Linked DNA regions of Lytechinus pictus. The protein of the gene in region 2 interacts with the protein of the main gene of each other region in a pairwise test. Links are inferred from orthologs where the notes say so. Each region holds a gene or a part of one and is shown on either strand. Other genes may lie near its edges.

What was found. The genes of interacting proteins can lie anywhere in the genome.
Region 1: the proteins of cyclin-C-like (region 2) and cyclin-dependent kinase 1-like interact in binary tests that used the Drosophila melanogaster proteins (3 or more experiments, as listed by UniProt). The link is inferred for Lytechinus pictus from reciprocal best matches to the Drosophila melanogaster genes CycC and Cdk1.
Region 3: the proteins of cyclin-C-like (region 2) and cyclin-dependent-like kinase 5 interact in binary tests that used the Drosophila melanogaster proteins (3 or more experiments, as listed by UniProt). The link is inferred for Lytechinus pictus from reciprocal best matches to the Drosophila melanogaster genes CycC and Cdk5.

Annotation. Positions count from the first base shown.
Region 1 is NC_087262.1:20,372,320-20,380,084, reverse strand, and holds the start of cyclin-dependent kinase 1-like, read left to right. Parts: upstream 1-4,751; 5' UTR 4,752-5,179; intron 5,180-7,625; 5' UTR 7,626-7,677; coding exon 7,678-7,714; intron 7,715-7,765. UniProt on the Drosophila melanogaster protein: Plays a key role in the control of the eukaryotic cell cycle. Required for entry into S-phase and mitosis.
Region 2 is NC_087260.1:4,723,170-4,731,005, forward strand, and holds the start of cyclin-C-like, read left to right. Parts: upstream 1-4,811; 5' UTR 4,812-4,950; coding exon 4,951-4,982; intron 4,983-7,836. UniProt on the Drosophila melanogaster protein: Component of the Mediator complex, a coactivator involved in regulated gene transcription of nearly all RNA polymerase II-dependent genes.
Region 3 is NC_087257.1:1,754,274-1,761,807, forward strand, and holds the start of cyclin-dependent-like kinase 5, read left to right. Parts: upstream 1-4,520; 5' UTR 4,521-4,668; coding exon 4,669-4,705; intron 4,706-7,534. UniProt on the Drosophila melanogaster protein: Probably involved in the control of the cell cycle. Interacts with D1 and D3-type G1 cyclins. Possible regulator of neuronal differentiation and/or development.

The DNA of each region.
Region 1 (7,765 bases), on a different chromosome or scaffold from region 2:
ATCGAGATTTAGACCTAAAATCGGGACACTCTATTCAGTCATGAAAAGACTGAGTAATAGGGGATCTTCCTACATTAATAATGCGAGCACAAAGCGCGAGCAGAAAATTTTTGATATCGTGATCTGAAACTGGATGATTTAAATAGAGAACAAGTTGAGTTTCTGAATAAACATCCGCGCACGTGTTTCATATTTAGACCTAGAATCTAGGCATTCTAAATAATATTTTATCTTTGATATTATTTTATCTTATCTTTGATATTCCGATCTGAAAAAAGTCAATTTCAGCTCTATATTTCAAGCACTTTGTAGGAAAATTGTGAGGTGGATATGAATCGTACTTAATAAAGAGCTGATATTTTTCATCATTATTACATTGAGTTTTGACATAGGACCGGGACATCCTTAGGACATGTCATCATATAAAAATGATGACTATCTTCCTATTCCTCTTGCTAAGTGCGAGATGAAACAAAAGGGACAATTTGATTATTAAATTAATATCTTATTCACTAATGCCTGATGATCTGAGAGCGCGAAATCTGATGATAATGTGGCCTGAAGACTGGACATTCGAGCATTGTTGTAATTATAAAAAGGATGCATCCGTCAATATATTTTTAACCATTAAATACGAGCGCAAATTGCGAGCCAAAATGTTTGATAAACTGTCATGAAAAGGGGATTTTAAGTAGTTTGTTGTATAATCAATATTGAGACATACATAACTCGCCAATCAAAATGCGAGTGTGCAGCGCTAGCTGATAAATTTTGACAATCAGACCTGAAAAGGGATATTTTGAAAACTTAATGGAATACACGACAAGAATAGGTACCTGATAAATCAAAATTTGCGAGCGCGCAGCGCGAGCAGAAAATGTTAATATTCAGACCATAAAAGTGACATTTTTACAGAGCACTTAAAAAAAAATTAATTTGTAAATCACACAAAATAACGAAAGTTCGATTTCCGTGGTGTAATATGTTTTGTATATTAACTTCCAAACTTGATATTTAAACTCACCTAACAGGCAATGCGAGTGCGAAGCGCGAGCGAAAATTTTATATAGTGACATGAAAGATTCTTTTTATTTTCCAAGTCTTCCCCTCATTTTATTTTATTCACTCGTCTTCCTCCTCTTCTTTTTTCTCATCTCTTTTCCCTCCTTTTTTCTTATTTGTTTTCTTTCTTTCCCCTTTTTCTCCTGTTTTTGCTCCGCCAATAGGGGGGGGGGCGCCCCCCCCGGATCCGCCTATGAGATGACGCATCCTATTCATAATTACAAAAGAGCTAAAAATGTCCAGTTTTCAGGCCTTGACATATAACAACAAATTTCGCGCTCACATTAGATAAATGAAAAATATAATAACATTAAAGAATTCCTATATAATTAAAGTGTCCCTTTTTCAGAAAAGAATATCGACAAGTTTCATCTCGCACTTAAGAAGAGAAACAGGAAGATGGTCATCATTTTCATATGATGACGAATGTTCGGTCCTATGTCAAAATGATAATGAAAATATCAGCTCGCGCTCGCAACATTTATTGAGTGCAATCCATATCCATATCACAAGTTTCCTACACAGTGCTTGAAATAGCGCTTAACTTGCGCTTCACGATCGCATTATTGATTTTCATAATAAAGATGTATTTAGAATGCCCAGATTCTTGGTCTAAATCTATAATACGCACAAGCGTGTTTATTGAGACATGCAAGTTGTTCTTTATTTAAAACGTGCTTAAATTATCCAGTTTCAGATCAGGATATAAAAAATGGCATGAGCTTCGCGCTCGCATTATGTATGTAGGAAAATACCCAATTGCCCAGTTTTCATGATTTACAAAGCATCACTAGCGTACCTACGGGGGGGGGGGGGGGGGCAGAGGGGGCAGTCTGCCCCCCTGACGAGCTACAACCCATGCAAAGGACGTATCCCTGCCCCCCCCCCTGACAAGCGTGAAGACCTTTATTGCCCCCCTGACGAGCTTGAAGACCTTTTTTTTTTTTTTTTTTTTTTGTCCAATTTTTTTCTTGTACAAAATCCTTCATTTGTGATTGAAGACCCTTTTTTTTGCTTGTCAAATTTTTTGGCGGACGGTTTTGCCCCCCCTGTGAAAAATCCCAGGTACGCCACTGCAAAGCATGAATAGAGTGTCCCTTTTTAAGGTCTAAATCTCCCTTTTTTTTCCACTCGCGCTTCGCGCTCGCATCAATTGTTTAGTTCTCTTGAGGACAATTCTGTATCATCGGAGGGGCGATTGCCCCCCCCCGTGCTCAACATAAGTAATGCAGTTCTGTCAAGAAAACATTTTTATATCACGTAAAACATGTAGTATTCATTTCTGTTTTAATGTTTTCTTGGAAACGTAATTGCAATATTCTAAAAATAACGTAAGTGGACTTTTTAGGATAGGGTCCTTTATGGAAATGTTGAACATGAGGAATATTATAGGCCTAATTCAATGCAATTAAAGTTTATTCAATGCAAGGTTGCATAGGAAAGCAAGCATTGATGGCGGCCTCATGAAGAAAGAAATTTGTGGCATAAATTATGAAGAATGATGATCAAGCCTTCGGTGCAATGCAGGTTGCAGATGCAATAAGCCAGTTCGTAGTTCCTTTCTGCGCATGATCAAAAGATTCTACGCATGATCGGAGGAAGGTCATTTGTACTGAATCTAATGAGATAAGCACCAACTTTGATGTCTTGATTATTCATATATTCTTTTGAATTGTGCTTTTCATTGACATCCACAAAAAACAACAATGCGTCCACAAACGACTGGTATTTCACAGTTTGCCAAGTACATCGTGCAACATGCTATGAAGTATGATATGCATTCAAAGTAAGAATGCAACAAATACCTTCATAAAGTGTTCATTGGTGTGCTATTCTAGTCACCTGGTCTATTCAATTTCTTCATCCTGCTATGTAAGGCAAGCTTACGTAATATCTTGCTTTGAAATCTGCCTATCATAATGAAAGAAATGAAAGGTCATTTGACCATAATTGTCTAGAAGTAACTACGAACTGGTCTATCCCACTGGGCAATTTGTTACCGATTACCAATTTTACCGGTTATTACCGGTAATATCACCCGGAAATTTGAGTAACACCAAATATTACCGTTATTACCATTTTATTACCGAAATTATAATTCCTGTTGATACCTGTTACTGTTATCACCCTGATGAAACCTACATTTACCTAGTTACAACAGGGTGATGAGGGGTAATAAGGGTAATGTTGAATGACTTTGATTGGTTATAACATTGCAAACTTTAGTAATAAGAGCAATCTTACAGCAATCCCAGCGAAATTTTCAAAGTCCAAAAAATTACTGTTATCACCCTGATGAAACCAACATTTTACCCAGTTACAAACAGGTTGATAAGGGGTAATGGGTAATGTTGAAACGCTTCCATTCCCAGACAGCAAAGTATCTGGATCACATACGGTTCTTATCTGGGATATCTGGGTCCCATAAGGGCCCACATGGAACCCAGATGAAAACATATACTTGAACCCACATGGTGCCCAGATAGGACTAAGATGGAAACGAGACCTCCAACCCATGCGGAACCCATTAATATTGGGTAAATGGAGTAATATCAGATGGTAATATCAGGAAAATGCTGGGAATATTAGTTACTCATGAATATTCATTACTACAATAAATGGCCAAAATTTTAGCTAATATAGCTGTAATAATTAATGTGTTTATGTTTATGCAATTATTCCACCCAGAACATTTTCAGAAAAATGTGTAGTTTATATATCATATTAGTCATAATCATGACATTAATTTTAGAAAAATGTTTTAGGGTTGAATAATTGTTAACCATAATTTGTCAAGTGTTGTAAACTCGCTCAATATATAGAAGTAAATGACAGGGTTTGGTGGATAGGTGTAGGATAGGATTAGGATTAGGATGTAGGATTTTAGGATAGGATAAGATGATATGGCTTAGAGTATGGAGTTGTAAAAATGTGCTTCAATGACCCTAATGACACTAATTGTTTTTTTAATGAGCCGACATTAATTGGGTAATATTGGGTAAACAGAGTAATATGAGGTGGTGATATCATTAAAATGCTGGAAATAGTAGTTACATCATACTGAGAAATATTGGGTAAATGGAGTAATATTGGGCAGTAATATCATGAAAATAACTGGAAATATCGGTTACATCATACTGGGTAATATTGGGTAAATGGAGTAATATCGGGTCCGGGTAATAACGGGGAAAGATTGGTCTACTATTTCCCCGTTACTACCCACTGGTGTTACCGTGGTAATAACTACGTTATTACCTGTTACAACCCGGGTAATATCGGGTAAAATGCCCAGTGGGATAGACAGCAGTTGAGTAATAGGAATAATAATTAGCAATTTGGTTATGTGAGCGAGTATGCTTATTTGGATTATGAAATGCAGTTCTTTTTAGAGTGGCTTTCAAGATGATGGTTGAACGAGATATTGTATTGTCTGAAAGATTATCGATCTATTTTGTAATCTAAAATTACTGTATTATAAAGTTTTGTAATAAGAAATACAAAGTCATGATCGAAACCCAAACTGTATTTTCCTGCATGGTTTGTATTTTGTTAAAAATTAAATATATGACATGAACTAAAACTGTAATAGAAATATCACGCATTTTGCTTTCTCATCAGCATTAAATTGTTTGTGGTCATTTTTTTGGGGGGAGGGGGTGGGTTTGAGTTAATTAAGTTCCCCCGTATATAACCGCACCTGTACCTGTAGGCTGTGGCAGTACTGATTTAATTTTACCGGGCCAAGACAAAAGGGACTGACATCTCTTCTAACTTTTGAAATATTGCCATCATGCGGTTGAAATTGTGCATGCATGGTTTGCCGATTAGACTCCGCCTACTTCTCACAGTTCACTACCTTTCATTGGATAAATCACAAGGCAGTTGGGGATACGTCATGCGAATGAGCGATGCCCATTGGTTATTTTGAACAGCCGCGGCTTTTACAACATTATCAACATCGATATATCCGCTATATGCTATCCATGCAATTCAGTTTACACGCAATATTTGATGCAGCTACACGTTACGACTCACTCTTTGACTCAACTCGCCGATCAAAGTAACGTTAGAATTTCAAGTTTTCTGACTCTACACGTAACAATAGAGGAGTTTAACTGTAAGTATACTATTCTCTTCTAATATATTAGAAATGCAAGCAAGTTTGAGTACGAAATACGTCAAATTTATTTATTTTTACTGCAAAAGTGCGTGGCAGTTGTGCAGACAGTGTGACTGTGAATGTGATGATGTGTTTAGGAAATAGGATGGGGGGTTGGGGGTCGGGTGTCAGGACACTTTATATTTTTGAAGCCTTCTTTTTTGTCTTTGGATTGCACTAAAAATATGAATTCAGTACTTGTAATCATCTTCTATTTTGTTCTCTATAATATTTCCTAACATTTTGTAATAAAAATTGATGAAACTTCACTTGTAAATTTTTCCAAATGACGTTCTAAATTGAGCGTCCGGACACACCACCTGTCCGGACACACAACAACTGGGTACCGGTTAACCCAGGGAGCCCAGGGGCTTACCGTGTATTTGACCATACTCACGTGACTAGGGTGAATTATGGTCTAAATATTTCTCCACTCATCATACTCATAGTCCAAATAAATTGTGAAAACAGAAGTTATGCACTTACCACGATTACCTGGATGAAGGTCTAACGAGTGGCAGTTTCCTGACATCTGGGCACAGACTGGAACCTCAAAAAACGAAAAGTTTTCTCCTTCTACCCCCGTCTCGATCGCGTAACGTTGGGGAAGTAAGTGTCCCAAAAAATCTCATGAACTTTTAAGAGAAATAGGACCCAACTTTATATGATTTTCTTAGAAAAACCGAGGCTCGAGCCAAATGTAAATTTTATTTAGATGGATAAAAAATGGTGACCCATGATGTAGGTACATGTAGTTGCAAGAAAAATAAATTTGAGAAATGAGGTGTTTGCTTCATAGCATCATTTAGAGCTCATTAATTAAGACCTTTCATTTAATACCTCATTCATTTCAATTATATCAATAGCCCCAGTAACAAGAAAGTTATGGTACATGTAGTTTTAAGTTCGTTCAAATCGCCTCTTCAATTCTTGGACTTGGCAGGCCTGCGAATGTTTAGTGCCTCAAATTGATTTCAATTCTAATGCATCACTGGACTGAAATTTACTCCAAGAACTTGTTCACTGCAACCATCCTGCCTGTGGGGAATCTACAGGTAGGACTCAGGTTAGTATACTAATACTAACCTCGCAATACGTGTGAGTGGGTAGGACTATGGTATGCCAATGCTGTACACAGCACACACTTTAAAAAATCATTAAAATGTCACTTTTGTGACCAAAATTACTAATTTCCATACAGTTGCAATTTATTTTTCATTAGTACCCAGGCAATAATTTTTGTATTTACCAGAGTGCTCAAAAACTTAAATTTTAGGCATATTTTTGTGTACGCCCTCTATTGGTTGAAAGTAATATGGTATTGGTAAGAAAATTTTCATTTTTCAATCTCTATTTTCAATTAAGAAAAAATAATTTAAAGAATCAAATTTACTAAGAGCCAAGTTATATGATGAATAGCTGTAATGGAAACAGACAGTGTAAAAAAATCAAGCATTTGTCCCAAAGAAAAAGAGAAAATAAGCCAAACATTGCCACCCTTTTTTTGCCACACATGGAAATGTAACTGAGAACAAGGTTAGGTATATCATAACCTTGTTCATTGAATGAGTGCAAGAAGCAAGCGTGGCATTCATAACATGGTACAATTAATGGTCAAGTGTCTGCAGACATATAAAAATGTTGACACGACTTCTCAGTATGGTGAGACTACCACATATCGACCACCTCTTTTGAAACCGACCACCTTGCGCGCGTTAAAATTATTGCGTATTACAAACGATACGCGCGGGAGAGTAGGCGCAGTGTCCATAGAAACGGTAAGAATCAATTTTACGAGAAAAAAAAAGAAGCAACAAAAAGTAAAAATTTAGTAGAATTAATCAAAATTGTATTGACCAGACCCAAACCACGCTGAAAAACCAAGAAATCCTATAGGAAACGGCTTTAGAACAAATATCCGTTGTCAATCGTTGAAACATGTGCCGGAGCTCGCAGTGGAAGTAGTGAGACAATCATTTAGCATGTTGACATCATAGAACTGATTTGGAAGAGTAAAACTATTTCGCCACCGCGACAAGAATCGGCTGTAAACTTAGTGTATCGCGGGTGGTCGGTTTCAAAAGACGGGTGCAAATGTAAAATCGTCGTATTCGTTGTTCGTCGATATATACGCGGATTGAATCGGAGTCGCCGAGCGAAACATGGGAATCTGATCTGCTCAATTTTCTGCACAAATGAGACGAAAACTAGGTAAAATTGATGAATATTTTCGCAGATACAATGCTTAGAAGATTAGGTGGTCGATAAGGGGTAGTTCCAACCATATACATTTCAATGAAAATTTTCTTATAATTGAAATTAAAATTGATTTTAATTACCAGTATTGAATTCACTAATTATTCATTTTTCTTAATTTCTCTCATGACCCCCCCCCCCCTTGCAGATAGAGACCCATTTTTATCCTGTTGGACTGTGTGTGATTTCATTCTGAAATAATGGAAGATTTTATCAAGATAGAAAAGTTGGGTGAAGGTGAGTTAGTATATTATCCTTAAGATCATGCAACTTGAAGGGGAAGTTCAC
Region 2 (7,836 bases):
TAATACCTAAAAATTGAATATTTTCAACACATGATATATCATGACCAATAGTAAGATTTGCGAGGTCACTTGGAACCCTCCTCTTCCTTGTTCTGAAAATAGTAAATTTAGTTTTATCAAAATTCAAAGAAAGTTTATTACAACAGAACCAATCATACAATTTGTTAACTTCTTTATTGGTAATAGATATTAAATCATAAATATTCTTGTGAGAATTTATAATACAAGTGTCATCAGCAAATAATGAGTAATGGAATAATTTTGAAGAATTTGTAATATCATTTATGTATACGAGGAACAGGAGGGGCCCGAGAATAGAGCCTTGCGGAATTCCATATTTAATAAGTTTACGCTGTGATTGGACACCATTGACCATGACAAACTGATATCTGTTATGCAAATAATGTTTGAACCAATCTAACGCTAACCCTCTGACACCATAAGCATTCAGTTTACGTAAGAGTATGTCATGGTCAATGGTGTCAAAAGCTTTTGACAGATCCATGAATAAACCAAGACAATAATTGCCATCATCATTTTTTTGTGATATAAAATTTGCAATGTTTAATGCACCCATGGAAGTTGAAAAATTTTCACGAAATCCAAATTTCTCTGGTATGAGGATATCATTTGCTTGAAGGTGGGAATATAATCTTTTGTGAATAATCTTTTCTAACATTTTCGAAAAAAATGGTAATAGTGATATGGGTCTATAATTATCCAAACAGGTATTATTTTGAATATTTTTAATTTGTCAGGAACAATCCCTTGTGATAAGGATTTATTAAATATTGCACAAAGTTGTTCAACAAATAAATGAATTGAGTCCTTAAGAACTCTGGGGGTCAAGTCATCAAACCCACTAGCTTTTGATGATTTCATAGAAGAGAAATTTTTAGAATTTCATGAATAGATGTAGGTTTTAGGAATAATGAAAAGTAGCTCTTATCAACAGGCAAGAAGTCATGAAATATGTGAGAAGAGGTAGGTATATTATGTGAAATTCTTTCAGCAATATTGACAAAGTAATGGTTAAAGGAATCTGCGATCACACGAGGTGAGGACATATGAACATTATCATTATACATTTTAAGTGGTATATTTTGTCGCCTCTTCCCCAATAACCCATTGATATTATTCCAAGTTTTTTTTTCATGTCACCTTTGATCTTATAAAACTTGTTATGAAAATATCTTTTTTTAGACGATCTGATAATAGTAGTAAGTATATTTTTGTATGTGACATATTTTTTCTTACTAACAGATTTCTTCAAATATTTATGATATAATTTCTGTTTGACGTTAATTGATTTAAGCAGTGGCGTAACTACGGGGGGGGCATGGGGGCACGTGCCCCCCAATCGGCTGACAAAAAAAAAAAAAAAAAACGGGGAAAAGGAGAAAAAGAGGGAGAAAGGAAGAAAACGTTGTGGGAAAGAATACATTATTGTTCATTATAATGTTATATTATATCATAATATCATTATGTCATAATATCATAATTATGTTTTGTTATATTACATAAGAAACATTTTTTTCATAAATTTATGAAACATAATTTGCTCAGGGTCTATGTCTTCATTGTTCCTGGTGCTCGCATTGTCTGTTTACCGAAATCCTGTAATCTTAATATAAGATATTTCCTGTCCGTGCTTACGTTCGCAGTAGTGGATTGGTGAAATATGTCTGCTCTCCATGAATTCCTAGAATCGGTCCTTAAAAAATTTTCAGCTCGTGCTACGCGCTCGCATCATTATTTGGTTAGTGAACTACGTATGGTCTTCGTGAATTCTTACAAACAAGCCTTAAAATGCCCCTCTTCAGGTTTGAATTTCCTAAATTATCAGCTCGCGCTCCGCGCTCGCAAGATGTGATTAGTGAGATGGGTATGTTAATCAAGATTCCAAGTGCTTTATGCGCATGTTTAGATGTAATTTTAACAAAATCAGCAAGCGCTTATTGGCACTCGCATCAGATGACTATGGTGAGATGTGTATACTCTTAATGGATTCCTAAAATATATAGTCCTTAAAATCTTCCTGTTTGGGGTCAATAATTACAAAAATTTCAGCTCGCGCTTCGCGTTCGCATTATTTAGTGAGACAGGTACGTATCATGATTTGATTACAAAAGATTGATGATAATGTCCCTTTTTAGGTCTGAATATCAAAAATTTTAAGCTCGCGCTTCGCGCTCGCATTATTTGACAAATGAGAGACATATCCATTTAATGGCACTGTCCTTAAAATGTCTCAGGTCAGTATACCTGGCAACTGGGCGCGCTTCGCGCGCTCACTTAGTGACTCAAAATTTTTGCTGGTGCCCCCCCCCCCAATGCCATGACCCACGGTACGCCACTGGATTTAAGTATACCAGGTGTGACCCATGGTCTTTTACCCTTCAACTTATAGTTGTGCCTCTGAACAACAGGAAAACAATCATTATACAACTTGGAAAATAAATGTATAAATAAATCATACGATTTGTTTGCATCAGTATTGCTATTAACAGGAGTCCAATCAACATTCAATAGTTTGTGTTTAAATTCTAAGAGTCGCTCATGTGTAATAAGCCGACCACTGGTTGTGGTGTTGCCATCAACACATTCAATAATCTGGCAGACAACGATGACATAAGGAAAAAATAACTGGTTATGGAGAGTTGTTGGACAACCAGGCGCGGATCCGGGAGATTAATTGCTTACCCCCCCCCCCCCCCTCCCTCAGCAAAAGGGGAAAAAGAAAGAGAGAAGGAAATAAAGGGAAGAGAAAGAGGAGTATAAAGGGAAAATGAAGAGGGAAGAAAGAGGCTTTAGCTGATCCGAAAAAGCCCACAGACCCATTGAAAAGGTAGTGAGGGGGCGGCCCGGCGGGAGGGGGGTGAAGGAATTATATGTAACAGAAACAACCGAAAGAGAGAGAAATGAAAGGAAAGTAATATCAGTTGTGATTATTAAAAACAAAATCGTGAAGCCATAGGTTGGAATGTTAATGAACAGATGATGATGACACAATGTTGGAAGCTTGTTTCGCTGGAGATACGTTGAAGCACCCAAGACTGGGATATGTAAGGTTGGAAAGATGTTGGACATTGAGATGATGGTAACAACGTTGGAATCTTTAATTGTGCCAAACCCAACTTGTAAACATGATTTTCCAGCTCTTAATTGCTGTCTTTTCATCTTTGATTGTTAACATGTTTGATTATCAATAAAGATAATTTTTTTAATTGAATTGAATCCTTTTTGTTGCTTAATTGGTTGTTTAAAAAGGAATAAAGTACAATGTAAATTTGGTCTCGTTGGTAATATGACGTTGCACCAACGTAATGCCAAAACTGGACCGAAGTTGAGCAAATGTTGACATATTCTTTGTCTTTCATTAGGCATTCATGAATATTCATTATCTAGTCACCAAAATTTTGTAACAATTAAACCGCAAATAACGTAATACGCAATTATTCCTCCCTCATAAGTTTCACAAAAGTATGTAGCTTTGTCGCCATATCATTTTCATAAAATAGATAATTCATAGACGAAATGTTCAAGGTTAAATAAAGAAACCTGTTATTAACTGCAATTTTCTAAGTATCGCAAAGTCGTCATATATAAATAGGAATGACTGGCAGGATAGGTGTAGGATATGTTAGGATTAGGATATAGGATTGTAGAATAGGATAAGCAATTAGGGAATAAGAGTGTAAAAGTGGCCCTCACTTTGAAACTAATTAATGTTTTTATGATTGCCATACGTAGGGATTACGTTGGCCCAGCGTCAATAACTGATGTTAGGCCAATGTTGGAATTTTACGCAGATCCAACATTAAATTTGATGTTCATAATTGTTTTATTGTTTTAAAATTGACCGTTGGCGGGGTGGACATTTTAACATTGATTAGCCTAACGTCAATATATGATGTTGGGTCAATGTTGTAATCATACACAAGCACAACATTATTGTCTGATATTGGCCCAATTAACGTTTTAATTGATGTTGGCTCGATGGACACTTTTTTTTACACGGCTCTAACAATTTGATGTTGGTTCAATGTTTCAAATTGACCGTTGGCGGATCAGCCATTTTAACATTAGCACAACGTCAATAAATGATGTTGGGACAATTTTGGAGGCATTTTATAGATAGACCTAACATTGTTATCTGATGTTGGTTCAATGTCCTCAATCGGATGTTGGCTCGGCAAATACTTTAACATTAGTCCAACGTCAATAAATGATGTTAGGCCAATATTAGAATTTTACAAAGGTCCAACATTACAATTTTATGCTGGTTCAATGTTTTAAAATTGACCGTTGGCAGGTCGGATATTTTAATATCAGTCCAACGTCAATAAATTGGGCCAATGCATCGCTCGACATTTGCCCGACCTTAATATAGCACAACCATGGCGTAATTTCCTTCAGCAAGAAACTGATCCACAATGTGCTGCACTCAACCCAGGTGAGGTAAATGGGTACCGGTAGGAAGTTATTCCTCAAGAAGCTGTGAGCGCTATGAACGCCTAGCTTAGCCGGGTAATATAGGAGCGCCTTGAGCACCTAAAAAGGTGGATATGTGCGCAGTATAAATACCCTATATTACAACGTTGGCCCAATGTAAGTTTGCTAGCTGGGATCTGGGGTTGGGATAATCTCATGGTGAAAATATCTTTTTGCACCAAATGCCCATTTTGACATATAAGTGCCTTTTCTGGCTTTGCCCGACCCCCTCCCCCTAACGAAAGTATGTTCCGCCGCCCCTGTTATGACAGCAAAAACTTTCACTGAATTACGGGGGCGGGGATTCAGGATGGGGTGACTGCGCTCTGTGTATTTCCTTTTTTTTTGCTTCGTCAGAAACACCATTAACAATTTACACCAATTACAATTGACACAAAGAGCAGGAGCGAGAAAAGTCGTTATTTATTGATTAATTGGAGGTTTTTCGCTATAAAAATGGCAGGAAACTTTTGGCAAAGTTCTCATTGGTAAGTGTATTCTTTTAAAGATTAATCTGTTGACTAAGGAGCGTTTCGTGTATTATTTTGTGAGCAAATATGCGTCGGTATTTTGCCGCACAGTACCGGTACTACTGGCTGTGCCTGTGCCTGGCTCAGTCAATAATGCACTTCCCCTGGGCTGGCCTCGGCACCCGTACCCGGTACTCCCTACTAGCCTGGAGGCGTATGGGGAGTAAAAATCATGATTCATGATTCATTCATTCTCTTTTTCCTCCACAAAATTGATGTATTCTGTACTGACATGGTTCAAACCTCCTAAACCAGAATGACAGCGTATATGGAACATATATCTGTTTACCTTGGACCCTAGGAATCTCCAAGAGTCCAAATAGGCACTTCAGTCGGGTGGGCGATCGCGCGGACACAGCGCTAGACGTAGATTTTTGCATTGCAGTGAATGGCGAGCGCCTATCTAACACACACAGTTCGCTCCGCTCGGCACTTTGGCCGAGCGCTGGAGTTGCATTCGGCATTGCTCGAAAAGACAGAGTCAGTTTCTTCCTTTATTCCGCTGATTTTGATTGGTCAAAAATTCCCGCGGTTGCTTCGTACATCTTCAGTAAACATCGGAAATATACAAGACAGAGTTTCCCTTACCTTCATGCGAGGGAAGGACCTAATATTCAGGTATTTATTTTTCTTTGCTTGAAATCACCTTCTTGTAATCATCGGATCCCTTGTAAACTCGGTCAGTAATAAAATTGTATATTTGAGAACATTTTGTGAAATTCTAATCAAATTTGGTCCGTAGAGAGTTTGCGAATATGAGCTTCAGTTTTGAGTGTCATGGGGTGTTTGTGAATCTGACTCGGCCGATCGAGCAGGGTTGTTTTGAGCGTGTGAGTGACGTCATCCCCACTGCGTTGGGCCTGAGATTAGTCTTGGTATTCAGACACAGTATGTTTCAGCCGTTGTATATTTTTTTTAATTACGATTTGAGCTCTGTTAATTATGAAAATCAAATTGTTATTTTGAAAATAATTTTGTAGAATTCGTGTGAAATAAGTTTTAAGAGCAAAGCTGCAAGTAAACTTCAAGAATTTTGTTTGATAAGTGATTTTTTTGTTGGAATGCGTCTGAATGTCTAGAATATGGTATTGTTAATGAAAGTCGTATTTTTGAATGGCACAGAAAGCTCCTTGCATGAATTTAATTTAGAAATCGGTTTACATACATGAGATGTGTTTTATGAATTTGATATCTGATTTATGGACCTTTGTTCTGGTGTTAATTATTAATTTGAAGATATTATGAAAAAGTAAGAGAAGACAATAATGAGGCAATTAACAGTGATGATACATTAATAATATGAGACAATAAACATTGCGACAATTATAATAATCATTATGATTATAATGATAACAATTATAATTATAATGATAATAATTATAATTGTAATAATTATTGAGACATCAATTCTAGTATTTATTGACAATAATAAGTATTACAATAATCATTATTATAATAAAATAATTGTTATGAAAACAATTATAATGATGTAATTTGAATTGTAATAATTACTGAGACAATAATATTAATGAGATATCAATAATAATCATAATAATAATACTTATAATTAAAATAAATACAATTGTAGAAATAATTATAATTATAGTAATTATAATTATAGGCCTTATAATTAATGAGACAATAATAACTATTATTACAATAATAATAATTATAACATAATTATAATGATAACAATTATAATGAAAGTAATTATGATTGTAATAATTACTGAGACAGTAATATTGAAAGGTCATCAATAATTATTATTATAAAAATTATTATGATAATAAACATAATCATAATTATAATTAAAGGCCTTATAATTATTGGGTCAATAATAACTGTTATTACAATAATAATAATTATCATAAAATGATTATAATGATAATTATAATGAAAATAATTGTACTTGTAATAATTACTGAGACAGTAATATTGATAAGTCATCAATAATTATTATTATTATAAAAATTATTATAATTATAAAAATAATCATAATTATAATTATAGGCCTTATAATTATTGAGACAATAATAATTATTATTTCAATAATAATTATTATTATTGAATAATTATAACTATAATTACTATAATGATAGTAATTATAATTGTAATAATTATTTAGAAAATAATATTAATGAAACAAAAATAATTATCATAATAATAATAATTATTATAATTATAATACTAATTGGGACAATAATGAAACAATGATGAGACTATAATGATATCAACAATTTTATTGAGACCATAATAACAAGAAAATAATGAGATAATAGACAATTAAAATCAATCTGTTTTTATTTTTTTCTAGAAATCCTAAGATTATTATTTTAATTCTCTTTCTTTGATTACAAATTATATTCATTGAAAACTTAATTTCTAATGTTCAAGCAAAGAAAATCAATATCAAGTCATGTTTACCCTGTGCACAAACCTACCACAGGGCAATTACCCCCGAAATAGGGTTAGGTTAGGTGTAGATTTTTCGATAGGGGTACAGTGTAGTTGTCCGGGGGGGGGGGTAATTGTCCAGGGTGGGTGGGGGGATGGGGGAGGGGAATTGTCCGAGGGTTGGGGGGTGGGGGATTATCATCCAGGGGTAGTTGCTGGAACCAAAGAAATCATATGCCAGGGCTCCACACTAACCAATTATTTCTACTGGTCCAACCTATTCATGTCGGACCAGTAGATACCCAGTTTTTCAAATTTTTACTGGTCCGAACCTAAAATCTACTGGTCCCAAAAAATAAAGAAAACATTAAAAAAAGGCACAAGTTTATTTTTCTAGCCTTTCGTCCCCCCCCCCCCC
Region 3 (7,534 bases), on a different chromosome or scaffold from region 2:
GCTTCTACAGACCACCCGGTTCTAAGGATGAGGTGATTGACGAATTACAAGGTAGCATCAGTACTATCTTTCGAAAGCACAGGAAACTGCCTGCTTTAGTCCTAGCGGGAGATTTTAATCTACCGGATATTGACTGGTGTAAAGTTGTAACATCGAATCCTAGAACTCATGCAATTCATTCTCACTTCCTCAACTTTGTGAATGGATGTAGTTTAACCCAGATGGGTAGGGAGCCTACAAGACCGGCCTCTGGAAATATCTTAGATCTTATACTCACAACTACACCTGATGCTGTGAATAATACCCAAACAAAACCTGGGATCAGTGACCATGACATCACCCTGTTTGACATCAATATGCGACCCAAACTCCAAAGAAAACCAGTGCGGAGAATATACCAGTATGACAAAGCTGACAAACAAGACATTAAGGAGCGCTGCTCTCAGATGTCATATGACTACTTTGAAAGATCTCCTGAAGACATCTCTGTAGAAGATAATTGGATATTCTTCAAGACTTCTCTTTTGTCAATCATGTCTCACATTCCCCACAGGAACTCGAGGCCCAAGACAAGCCACCCGTACATCACCTCGAAGATAATACGGGAAATGAATAAGAGGGACAGGCTATACAAGAAGGCAAGACGTTCAAGGTCACATTCAGATTGGGAAACATACAAAACAAAGAGAAATTCTGTTCAAAGAGCAAAAGAATCAGCTCACAGTGAATACCTTCAAAATGTTGTTGGAGGAAGTCTTATGACTGACGCAAAGAAATTCTGGAGGTACGTCAAAGCTCAGCGGAGAGAGTCGGTAGGAATCCCAACTTTAAAAGTGGGAAATGTTTCCTATGTATCCAATGAGGAGAAAGCTAATGCTCTAAATGCTCAGTTCTCTTCAGTTTTTACACATGATAATACTTCATCGGTACTACCAGACAAGGGTCCCTCACCGTACACACCAATTGAAGATCTCTTCATCAGCTTACGAGGAGTGAATAAACAACTGAAAGAACTTAACACCAACAAAGCCAGTGGTCCAGATGAAATACCTGCTAGAATGTTAAGAGACTATGCAGATGAGATTAGCCCAGTCCTTACTCATCTCTTCCAACAATCCTATGATGAGGGAATTCTTCCAAGTGATTGGCTAAGAGCTCAAGTGGCCAGCATCTACAAGTCTGGCGACAAGAGTAACCCAGCCAATTATAGACCGGTGTCACTCACATGCATCTGCTGCAAGATCCTAGAGCACATTGTATTGAGCCACATGTCAAAATACTTGGAAAAGAATAACATCATCAACCCAAACCAACATGGATTTAGGAAGGGACTGTCATGCGAAACGCAACTTGTTGAGGCCATCAATGACTGGGCATACAACATCGACCAGCAATGTCAGACAGACGCCTTCTTTCTTGACTTTAGTAAGGCCTTTGATAAGGTATCACACAGGAAGCTGCTCTACAAATTGGAGTATTATGGCATTACTGGTCAAATGCATGGATGGATCCAAGCTTTTCTATCAGGCAGATCTCAGTCAGTTCATGTTGATGGAACATCCTCACCACTAGCCAGTGTACTCTCAGGCGTGCCGCAAGGCTCAGTACTCGGGCCTGTGTTATTCCTGCTGTACATCAATGACATCTGTGAATGCATCTCATCACCAATCAGACTCTTTGCTGATGACTGTGTGCTGTATCGCAAGGTCAAGACAAGAGCTGACCACGCAATTCTCCAGCGAGATCTTTCAACATTATCAGATTGGGCAAAACTGTGGGATATGTCCTTCAATGTCAAGAAGTGTGCCCACATGTGTATCTCATTGAAACGACAACCCTTGGCTTGCAACTTTACCATCAGTGACCAACCTGTTCCAACGGCAACCTCCTGTAAATACCTCGGTGTGACCATCACAGACAACCTGAGTTGGAACTCCCATGCACAGAAGATATCCTCCAAAGCTGCTCGTACTCTTGGAATCATACGTCGAGCATTGGGTAAATGTGACCTGAAAGTGAGAGACATTGCGTACAAGCAACTTGTCAGACCTCAACTTGAGTATGCTTCATGTGCATGGAATCCTCACATACAGAAAGATGTAAACATTGTTGAGAACATTCAGCGTCAGGGTGCTCGGTTTGTCCTTCATGACTACAGCAGAGAATCCAGTGTAACATCGATGTTGTCAACTCTTCACTGGGATACTCTCCAACACAGACGCCTTCTTAGCCAATGTGAGATGTTCTACAAAATTCATCACAATTATGTTTACATCAACATGCCACATCAGATTAAGTTAAGCAGCAGTTCTCGTCCACAACGTTCACAACACACTGGACATCAGCTCAAGTACACCCAGCCTTTTTGTAGAGTGAACTGCTACATGTACAGTATGTTCCCAAGAACCATCCGTATTTGGAATACTCTCCCAAACGCTGCTGTAACTTCGACCTCTATAGCTGGCTTCCGGGGAGCAACATTGCCTATCATTCAGCAAATGTTGCCTCCCCCTCCCCTTAAGATGCTGTAAGAGGGACACACACGCACCACCCGCACACTGCACCTAGCACACTGTATATAGTGCACCAAGAATACCACCACAGGATCACCACATCACCTGAAGCACTGGCAGCACCTGACACAGCACAACCCTCTCCAGGACAGCGTGTACGCTTTTGGGAGAGTACTTCTTCAAGCTGTGTGTGTGGAATTTCGGACCTTTCGGACACTCAAATGCACGCGACTAACCATTATGTTATGTAAATTTATAAGAATATAGCTAAGAAGTGACTATTAGTGACTTTCAAAGAAACCAAAAATCATCTTCGAGAGGCCGATCGGTGAAAATATGGCTGAAAAAAAAATTCCGCCCCCGCCCCCTATTGGCGAAGGCTGGATCCGCCCCTGCCCTCTAAAAAAAGCAAAAGCAAAACGCGTACATAACAAAACACACACACAAAAACAATTTTTTAGCACCCGATTTCCTTTAATTCTGACCCCAATCTACACCCCCCCCCCCCTCCCCTATTGGCAAATGCTGGATCCGCCCCTGAACATAGGACTTTTGGAGGGCGGGATCGGATGGTATTCTCGGTCGTGAAGCGTCGTCGTGAAGGTTGTATAGATAGATTTTACCATTCGTAATAGGTCCATGATTTTACCAGTCAAATTATCAGTGTCGTAATGTGCCAAATTTGAACTTTTGAGAGGGCAGGTTGTGGAAAAGGCCTGATATGGCAGTCGTTGTGAATACTGTTTTGGTTTTTAGGAAATTGGCAAAGCCGATCTCCTAATATTTATATAAAAGTTAGGTCCTACCTTAATTCTTGCTCGCCAGAAGATAGAATGGGATCCAGCCGCTCAGAATCTCAGATAAATTGCACAAATCCGTGAATAGAAATATATACACTTCACAATTTCAAATAGATTAGAAAAAAGGGATAGATGTCACAAAATGTCTCGCGAAGTAATGAGCTCATTAAATATGCAGAGAATATAGACTTCGAATGAGTGGAAGTGACGGTAAGGAATAAGATTGGAAAATGCAGAGAAATAATTAAGTATAAGTTGATCCTCCACAAGATTTGATTCAATCCTCACTAGCAGCTGGATGAGATGGTCAGCATGAGTGGACAGGACGAAGGCAGAGAGTAGAGTGATGATGTGATGGAGAAAACAAGTTGTTTTTACCAACATCAGAAAAGGTGAGACAAAGAAATAAGCGCCAAAAAGGGGCAAAACACAGTTGAGAAGAACAAAGAGGAGAGAAGCAGACTGTGAGAAAAGCAAACATGCAAGCATCTTGTAGTGATGTTGTATACCTGCAAGTTCATTGCAATAAACAAGGAACAATGAAAGGATGTTTGCTCCAAGTCTAGGAACAAAAGAAAGGTTGTTTCTCAATATAAGAATGTGTTTGCCAAGTAGATTTGGACAGAAAATGAGTTGGCTTGCTCTGTGAATGTACAGTATTGTAGTACATACACATGGCGTGAACAAGTGAGAATATATGAAATTGGAAATAAAAGAAAGAATTTATATACATATACAGAATGTTGAAATATAAATGAAAATATATACAAGGAAAGAATATATAGATGTAGATATATAAAAAGATATAGTCAAGTCACTACAGGTTTATGTTTTGCTTTAGTTTTTATTTTAGCTATTGTTTTGCTTTTGTTTTGTTTCTGTTATTGTTTTTGTTTATTGCATGTTGACATATTCTCCTTATCCATCCAAGTCATATGACTAGAGTCTAGAAAGGTATAATCTCCCTGTTTTTATTCGACCATTGCTGCTCTAAATATTGATGAACTTTCATGTTTTTGGTAATTTTGTAAAAAAGAAGAATAATTTTTTTCATATTATGTCGTATTAAAAAAAATCGAAACATAATTATAGGTGAAACTTTTTATCTGAAATATATGGTGCGTGCGAGATTCGATGCTCATAACTTTTCTGCAAATAATCGGCCTACAAAAAAAAATTAACGGATTTCTTGCGCGCGCGCGCGCTCAATTATCATTATCAAAATTGTAATTCAGACCCATAGAGATGTATACTAGTATACATCTCTATGTTCAGACCCCAATCACAGCCAAAACCGCGGTCTTGTATAAACAACCGTGGATGAATGCTGTTTTCTGGTGCCAAGAGATCTGGAAATGCAAAAATATGAGAGGCTTGAAAAAATTGGAGAAGGTAAGCGTTTAAGTGACTGAAATTTAGTGAAAAATACGTTTTAATTTGCTAGGGATAGGCTATTTCTTATGTAGTCCCGTATGCGAAGTTTGGCGTATTGTGTGTGAGACCTACTCATCTAGTCTTGAGCCTTGAGAGTTGAGGACTCCATGATGATGTCTTTTTTTAAATACTTTGACATATACTTCTTCATCATTGGAGTCTTGAACCGCCCTCATATAGGCCTATGTATAAGAGACACATGTAAACAAAGATGGATTCCCCAAGGAAATCCATCTTTTAATATAAAAATCACATAAATTGTTGTGATTTTAATTTTTATATATCAAGACATTAGTAACTAACATGTCTAACGTTACACCGGCTGCACTCACACTGTGACTACCTTATTGCGAGGTTAGTATGGTGAGACTACCACATATCAACCACCTCTTTTGAAACCGACCACCTTGCACGCGTTAAAATTATTGCGTATTACAAACGATATGCGCGGGAGAGTAGGCGCAGTGTCCATAGAAACGGTAAGAATCGATTTTACGAGAAAAAAAGAAGCAACAAAAAGTAAAAATTTAGGAGAATTAATCAAAATTGTATTGACCAGACCCAAACCCCGCTGAAAAACCAAGAAATCCGATAGGAAACAGCTTTAGAAGTTAGAACAAATATCCGTCGTCAATCGTCGAATCATGTGCCGGAGCTCGCAGTGGAAGTAGTGAGACGATAATTTAGCATGTTGACATCATAGAACTGATTTTGAAGAGTAAAAATATTTCGCCACCGCGACAAGAATCGGCCGTAAACTTAGCGTGACGCGGTTGGTCGGTTTCAAAAGATGGGTGCAAATGAGCAAATGTAAAAGGGCTATTCCACGGTTACTCACGTTACATTTGGAGACACCTTGACTCATACTTGGAGCTGTAGCTCCATTATTATTGATAGGAACTAAACATCTCCTTATCACAGCAAAGTACACAGTCTGACTATCCTTTGTATAAAAAAAAAACTTGGGAAATTTTATTATGCTCCTGGCAAATCTTTGAAATGTGTCGGTTACTCACGTTACATGATTTGGACATGCATATAATGAAAAGTCGACTTAAGTGAAAAGTGTCCTCATACAAGGCTTTTATGAAAGTTGATTATATCAATTTCAAAGAAGTATATTAGGGAGACAAACTTTGTATATAATTCAAAAAATAAAGAACACAAGGTTTTTACTAGGGGTGCAGATAAAGTGGTTACTCACGTTACGGTTACTCACGTTACATTTTGTCCATGTATGGTTAACAACAAAAATGTCACTAAAAATTCAATAATGTGTGTAAAATTCATTGCTAGGAACACCAAAAAGAGTTTTTATACCAAAAATTGGAACAATTGGAGCTTTATTTAGGGAGTAAGAGGGAAAAGTATGATTTTGCTTACTTATTTTGCATAAATTAGCATAATCACATTGTGAATACTTCTACTAGTATTCAATTTTTTGTGTGATTGTACATGTATGACCACTGATATTTTTATGACAAAAAAGAGTCGCATCAAAGAGGTGTACCCTCATTTTGCGTTTAATTAATCAAAAATAACTTCACAACTCACCATGAGACTTAAAACTTGACATCCCACAGAAAATATTACCTAACTGCATAATTTTTACTGGTTACTCACATTACATGATGGTTACTCACGTTACACAGTTACTCACGTTACAGTTTTTCTTCATCATTTTTATAAAAAATTGTATTTTTTAATGATTTTGATAGTCATCACCGTGTTAAAGATTGTTTGAAGGAAGAGAATTTAAAATCCCACCAGTTAACTGCGAAGAATTTTTCGCTCAGAAAACAAAGTCATTTTTTTTGGTTACTCACGTTACATCACCTGAGCAGGTTTCAATATTTTTTTTTGAATGAGTACTACAAATTTACTTGAAAAGTTGTTGTGTATTTTAAGTAATTTGACTCTTCTAAACTTCAAAAATATATAAAGTGGTATGATGTTTCAATAACAAAATGGTAATAAGGCATATTTCATTTTTCACTATTTTTCTTGTATTTTGGTACAGAATGGAAGATACAACTTTTGACCATTTTTTTCCAAAGTATACATATGAAAATAAACTTTTTATTTTTTGTTCCTGAAACTATCATGTATGAAGGACTTAAAGTATTTAAAAATTCAAGAAAATATTGAATTTGAATTTTTAAGCTCATGTCCACCAACCTATGGAATTGCCCAAAATCGTCGTATTCGTTGTTCGTCGATATATACGCGGATTGAATCGGAGTAGCCGAGCGAAACACGGGAATCTGATCTGCTCAATTTTCTGCACAAATGAGACGAAAACTGGGTAAAATTGATGAATATTTTTGCAGATACGATGCTTAGAAGATTAGGTGGTCGATAGTGGCTGGATCTGGATGTGTACGATGGAGGGCCCTCCTCACTCACACTAATACGAGGTTAGTATGCTATACTAACCTCGTACAAGGGACCGTGTTTGACCTAGCCAGGCGGCTTCTAGAGAGTAAAAATCATTTACTAACGTAAGGTTACTCTCATACGAAGCCAGGCCTTCTATCTCATAGACCCACACAAAGGAAGCCAAAACCTGAAACTTTCACCCCCGAGATTTCTAATTTCCTTCTAAAAGATCTAGCTCTAAATCATGTACATGGGATAAAACTTAATTTCCGACATTTCTACGCTCTCGATGTTATTTTTAAAACAAGAATTCATCCAAAAAATGAAAAAATATTGTGAAAAGACGGAAGAGACTTGCCCGATGTTTACGCCGCCATCTTGTTTCTTATTGTACTTCCCCAACGTTAC